Linked DNA regions of Kluyveromyces lactis. The protein of the gene in region 2 interacts with the protein of the main gene of each other region in a pairwise test. Links are inferred from orthologs where the notes say so. Each region holds a gene or a part of one and is shown on either strand. Other genes may lie near its edges.

What was found.
Region 1: the proteins of KLLA0_F20900g (region 2) and KLLA0_E12387g interact in a protein complementation assay, tested with the Saccharomyces cerevisiae proteins (2 studies listed by BioGRID). The link is inferred for Kluyveromyces lactis from reciprocal best matches to the Saccharomyces cerevisiae genes FMP45 and YBL029C-A.

The regions. Positions count from the first base shown.
Region 1 is NC_006041.1:1,093,401-1,096,715, reverse strand, and holds KLLA0_E12387g (uncharacterized protein), read left to right. Parts: upstream 1-2,068; coding exon 2,069-2,344; downstream 2,345-3,315. Other genes in the region: KLLA0_E12409g (uncharacterized protein), read right to left, coding at 1-888.
Region 2 is NC_006042.1:1,948,552-1,952,308, reverse strand, and holds KLLA0_F20900g (SUR7/PalI family protein), read left to right. Parts: upstream 1-1,828; coding exon 1,829-2,641; downstream 2,642-3,757. Other genes in the region: telomere-binding protein CDC13, read left to right, coding at 1-522; KLLA0_F20878g (uncharacterized protein), read left to right, coding at 3,488-3,757. UniProt on the Saccharomyces cerevisiae protein: Involved in sporulation and affects the sphingolipid composition of the plasma membrane.

The DNA of each region.
Region 1 (3,315 bases), on a different chromosome or scaffold from region 2:
GAAAGCGTTTCCTGTGACAAACGAATTTGAATTGACACCGAAATCGAAACTAGTAACGTCCATGTCTCCATTTTCGTTTCCTGCGTTCCGTGAAGAAGAATAATCGTTTTTCGATATCCGTTGTGTAGATTTCGATTTGTTTGCCTTGGCTCTGGCTCTACGTTCTCGTCTTAACCTTGATTGCATCATATAGTAAGTGGCTCTTCTGATGATGATCTCTAACACTTTTTCATCGTACTCGGGATACCTGGTCTTAACGCGCTGATGCAGTTGGTATAAAATCCTGGTTCTATACTCCTTTGTAGTACCCCGGACCCAAGTCTTATAACCCAATGGATAGTGCAATTCCTTTTCGAAGATGTCCAAGATAAATTTTTCCCTGTATAACGCTTCTGCGGGGGAACTCAAATTCAACACTTCAGCCAATCCTCTTGCCGAGAGCCTTGAATCAGACACTTTTTTCGACGAATTGCTAGAGATCGAGCCAGACTGCGAGTTTGGGTTCCCGCAAGGAGATGCAGAAGATGAAGATGGTGGTGTTTGACGGTTATTCTTCGAGTACCGTCTTTGACGGGGTAGCGGCGTTGTCGCCGTCGTCGTCGCTGTCTCGGCAGTGTCGTCACCAGTGCCAGCGGTAGAACTAGCATTGCTAATCCTGCCACTGCTGGCACTGGCAGTAGTATTATCGGTATAATTGAAAGTGTAGGCATCAGCTAAAGACATAGAAAAGTCCGACACCTGTGGTTGTAATTGTAACTCATCCGTAACATCTGACTCCAAATTTGATTCGAGCTCCGTATCTAAAAGCAAATTCGGGTACGCAACGTTACTACTGAAGTCGTATCCTAAACTGAACACATCTGATACATTTCCCTGAGACCACGACATTACGCACACAATGATAGATAGAACAGTATAAGTATATATGGTTCAGGTGTCCATGACTCTGCGCAATCCTATAGTGAATCCAGCCAAATGTCAAACCAAAAAAAAAAAGGTTATAATAGATACAGTAGAAAATTTAAGACACATTGGAAATGTGTCAAACTATATAGAGAAAAGAAATAGAGAAAGAACACAATTGAATTGTACAAGAGCCAATGCTACCACATATATATATATATATATATATATATTAGCACAGCAAGCTATGGGTAAAAGATCAGTAATCTGCTGAATTCCTCTCTTTACCCACACTGTATATGACTACACCATTTTTCTCTTATTCCCACAGTATAGAATTTAAGGTTATAAAGAAAAACGATATCTATTATAGTATAATAAAGATTAGGATTCGAGAAAAATGCATGAAAAGGGGAATAAATCCGTACATGTATGACTACGAAAGCGAATTGATATCGAGATTTTGGAGTGAGATATCAGACGGAGAAACAGAGATGGAGAGCTATTGCCATTTATTCCAGTGGGAAACTGGTCTGGGAAAAAGTGGAGGTCGTTCGCCGTTCCCAAATACTATAGTACTAGATCCCAGCTGTCGCGGTGCAGAACCAATGAACAAGGCAAATGGAGTGAAAACAAAAAAGTATCTCGAAGTCAATCGGAAGTCAGACAGACCAGGAGACAAAGCACGTAGACTGGGTTGTTTTCCTTTTTCCATCTTATCGGCCGCACTTTCTGTTTAGGTTTTTGCGAAGGTATTTTACCTGTTTACTGATACGAGATAGGGATAACGGGCGGACGGCGATTTTGGAGTTTCCGTTTTGGGAAAGGAAATCCCGAGTCAGTTTTTTGAGACATAGGACCCGCTGAACACGGCACGTGTTCAGAGGGAGGGAGGAGATCGCACAAGACAACCGAGTCGTGTTACCCGGCGTGCGCCGGGTAACACTTGCACATCCCTACGTAATTAGCAAAAAAAAAAAGGGTACGAAAAAGAAACTACCGTGCAGGAAATAGAGCCTCTAGCAAATGGCAAAGCCCACTAATTGGTATATATATATATATATATATATGAGCTGCATCCTGGCAAGCTCGGACTTTGAACTCAGGCAGGACTCAGGCCCCACGACCAGGACCCTTAAAATCGAAACACACTAAGTAACCCGCAATGTCATTTGTACCGATCATCTTTGGTAAAAAAGATTGGGATTCCAGACATCCATTGGAGTCTCAGTACAGTGGGATATATTGCCCAAATTGTCATAATTTTCAAGTGAAGCCGGTCAAGAGAAGAGAGTTTATCTCACTTTGGTTCGTGCCGGTGTGCCCAATTTTCTGGGGCAACCAATTGCATTGTCCGATCTGTAATTGGCGCCAAGACTTCAAGACAGAGGAACAGTTGCAAAAAGTGATGAACGAACAGAACAAGTTGCGACAGGCGTAGGCAAGACGGCTAGGCAGGCCAACTAGGTAGTTTGTATGTGTGTGTGTGTGTGTGTGTGTGTATATTATACATAATAAAAGGCTTTCGTTGAGGACGTGCGCCATGGTTACCCGGTTTTGTTTCATATCACGAAACACGAACCAATCAAATAGCACATCACAGAACGTCCGTTTTCGTGGAGGCTAACATTTTCCTTTCGGAAATACCTCCAGGGTGAGATACCGTGTGGTGTATGGGTTAGAAACCCGGGGACGGGATCATCTGCGCGCGGGGTAACAAGTGGCATCCCCCCAAAACTGAGGCAGAGGCAGAATTGCCTCTGCCTCTGCCTCAGTTTTGGGGATATTACACTAGGCTGGCCTTTCCAGGCCAGCCCAATGCCTGGCTTAGTCCCAAGTCCTAAGTCCCAAGTCACCCAGGCGAGGGTCCACCGAATGAGCGAAATAATCCAGATCGAACAAATCCCACGTTAATCCATTTTCCTTCCTTCCTTCCTACTTAACAATCTTCAAGAAACAAAAAAAAAACCCGCGAAACTTGAAAAACTGAAAAAATAAGTTTTACCATACAAAAAATCGTCAATTTTGTATGGTAAATTTACCAAAATTAACGTTTCATAGGGCATGGCCATGAAATTTTTCTTTTTTTCCTCATTTTCCTTTCCTTGGTTTTTCCTACTGTAGAAACACACTGGAAAAAAAAAAAAAAATTCTTTTTTTTTTTCCCATTCCTCTTGTTTCTTTATGGCACAGACTCTCTGCCATATCGAATCTTGACGTTTTCCTCTTTTTAATACCGTTAAAATGCCAAATATCTATGCTATATACCTTTTTATCCTGTGTTATGTATGTATATCTTGACCATATCCAATTCCATTCAATTTGATTTGACTGAGTTTAATTTCCAAATTTTTCAAATTTTCTTTTTAACGGGAAAACGTTAGGGAAAAAAAAATATTTAAAGCGAATGAA
Region 2 (3,757 bases):
AACCAATTGAAGAGGGAAGGTGTTGACAAAATAGAAGAAGACGCTGCTACTCGTCCCATTGAGCTATTTGGTACCCGAAATCCTAAAACTGTTGACATTATTGATATTAAGAATAACGTGCAAATGGATCACAAAGACATCAAAGTTACTGCTAAAATTTTAAGTATTTTCGACAATGGTAACAATGTGACTATATACCTTACTCGTAGTGGCATGGTCGGTACTCAATGTACAATTGAAAACCCTTTCGAAGAACTTCTTAAGGTGCAAATCTGGGGGAGACAGAACTTGACACTTTTCTTCGGGAATCCAAATTATAGTTATAAGAGGGAAGAACTGACCGCCTGCATCGGTTCTATTGTGGACTTCACATTGATACCTAGAGTTCTGCGCGTCAATGAGTATTTATACATCAAAATATGGTGTCCTATTTATGCAACATTGGAGAGCTTACTGATTCACAGCAGATTGGAGTATGATAACGACACACTCAAATACGAAAACCTCTCCGATATTGATTAAGAACTAGGCGTATTTTGAAGTTGATTTCATTACATGAAGAAAGCTTGTCACCGTCATTATACTGGCGTCGCTAGCGGAGGTAGCATTTGTATAATTTTTTAATATAAAATAGAATACTCGTATAATTATGCGTAATAATTTAGAAAGTAACCAACTCACACATAATGCTGATAATCAGATAAGAAGGATACTTCATTTTTTAATATCACTTCTGAGTGCGTTTGACCAAATAACTCTCTATTAATCATAAGTGATGTAATTCAAGCTTTGGCCAACGAAATTCTCTAAGGAAACGTGCAACAAGAAAATCGTAACATATGCATGGCCATTTAGTGTCTTCTCGAAGCTGAGGGAATACGTTATAACACCTCTAAGATCGGGAAACCACAGAGTTGGATTCGAATGCCATAAATATACATGATTTCTAGCCGAAGGAACATTAGTGATTATATAATCATAAATCGCTAAGCAAGGATACGTTTTGTTATCCTTCGGAGATAATCATACAATTCAGAGTATTCAACGTCCAAATGCAAGAGGTCTGAGAAATAGAAATGGCGTTTTGAGCAAGGCAATTATTATCCAACGGAGAACAACTGACAGAATAATCAAAAAAAAGGCTTCAAGTGTCCATTTTGTTTCCTGTAACGAATGGGCACACTATTGAACTGTGAATATTGACTGCGGTTTCTAATTCTCGACAAGTCTCTCATCCAAATGCCTCCAGTTGCCACTCACTGTCTCGTGCAGGATATCTCTACTGAGTGTTTGCTATCACTGCCTTTCTCGACATGGATTATATAAGCCATTTGACACTTATTCTCCGGAGCAAACTTTGGAAAAAGGAAAATGCCGACAGTCGAAAAGAAAACAGAGAAGAAACTCAGTACCTAAATAATTAGGGGAGGTAAGCATTTGAAGAGAAACATCCTGCAGAAGAAACTTTATTGCTCTGAATGACCGCTCAAAGTAGGGCAAAAAGGGTTTCTAAAGGGTGTGTGGCAGTAGGCATTTATGTTTGCTCTTTTCGGCGTCTTGTTTTTGCTTCCGTTAAAGAATAAGGTATACAATTTAAATCTACCGATATTAATTTAAGGGGTTGACTTTGTTATAAAAAGACATCAAGATTAAAGAGTTGACCGTCCAAGTTGAGTTGTAACCTTTTACCTTTTGAGCTAATTTTGGATGAAAGGATTTTTTAATTCTGTTAATTGTTTTGGTGTGATTTTGTTTCTCTCAGTTTGTTCTTCTTCTCCATAATCAAAGCTAAAATAATAACCATATAATACTAATTTTTAATAATATCATGAAGTTCAAAGGGTTCGTTTCTTCGTTATCGTTGCTTTTCTTATTGGGTTCTGGTTTGTTGACGTTTTTTGTTATATTGTCTGGTGCTAGGACTACTGGTGTATTGGACAAATTCTATTGGTTTGAGGCTGACACCAGTGGGTTACCTGGTGCTCCAGATACTACAAGATGGTTCAATTACCATTGGTGTGCTTATGAGAATGGTGAAATCGGAAGTTGTTCAGGCAAACAAGCGGACTTACCATTTTCCCCTAGAGACAATTTTGGAAACAGTCCTGATCTTCCAGCATCATTTAGAGATAATCGTAATACCTACTATTATTTAAGTCGTGTTGGTTGGGCAATGTTGTTGATTGGTTTATTCTTCGTGGTACTCGCATTGATTCCTGTGTTGCTATCCTTTTTCAAGGTTGGTGTCGGTGCGGTATTGTCTACTGTTTCTATTTGGCTGGCTTTATTTTTCATCACATTGGCAGCCTGTTTGTACACAGCTTGTTACGTGAAAGGTCGTAACACTTTCCGTGATGCCGGTCGTTCAGCATCGATGAACACCAAGATGTTCGCATTTTTATGGACCTCAGTGTTCTTATTATTATTAAGTTCGTTCTGGTCAATAATTTTGAGTGTCACAATTGGTGTTCAGAAAGTCAAAGGAGCAAACACTTATCAACCGTATGAGGGTACTAGCTCTCATGATGATAGTTACAACGTCGACAAGCACACATATGAAAGCGGTGTCAATGACAACAACCGTCAAAATATCAAATGGTGGAAACTTCGCTACAAGAAGAAAGACACCGTTGCTGTTTAATTGTAGTCAAAAGTAGTCAAATCAAAATTAATTAAACATAACGACTCGAATCTCAATAAAAAAACGCCATTCACTAGAAAACAACATTTTTTCTCCCGTTTGATACCCATCTGAAACCAATACTAACACATATTAATAATTATTTCCAATTTTCTTTTAATTAGCGTCTACAACAACATTGTTAACAAGGTTAAAAATCTCGAAGGTCATGAAGAGGAATCCAACGATCCTTCCAGAAAGGATTACCAGTCTTCATCAGCTAATCAAGGGAACTTGAACAATTCTCACCAACAAACCACAACTACCTCTGGGACCCAAGCTTACCCTCATGATAATCACTGGCAAACATCTAGAAACCAAGCAGAGCCTGGAACCAACATTGGCCAAAACTACAATGAAAGTTTCCCAAGTGACAGTGATAAGAAAAATTACGGTCTGAGCTATCCATCTTATGGCAATGAAGGCACATTCGATGATCATCCACCTGGGGTCAAAGCACCATCTCATGCCAGAAACTTGAACGACTCGAATGGGCATCATGGGTCGGTACTTGGAGGTAATGAGCCCTTATCCTCGCACCATCCTGGCAGAAACGCTCAACAACAAGAATATGTTAATGTTGGTTCCTCGGATACGCCAGTTCATACCAACGATAGCAAGAGCTATGCAACTACTAAAAATATTGGCGAACCATTGAAATCGGGGAATGGCCAAGAGTTAGCCGGTTCTAGCAAATATGCCGCTAAAGATACCGAGAAGACAGACATTTATGACAGAGATACTCGCCCTCAAAGTGAAGACTCCGGGAAGCACAGAAGAAAGAGTTCTTTCAACAAACATGCTATAATGGCTACCTTAGGTCTAGGTGGAAAGTCCGACTCTGACAAATCTAAGAAGCAACAAGAGGAGTCAAATTCTCCAACTAAGCACACAGTCAATGATTCTGATTTGGGGAAAGAACACGTGTCCAAACACCAATCACAATCTCAAACTCATCGTGATAATGTTCAAGACAAGTATGATTACGGTAACTTCAAGGATAAGGAGGCCAAAGATGCTAGAACTAGGGTTGCGGCAGCTTCAGTACCTGCGAACACTCATTCAAGTGAATCGCAA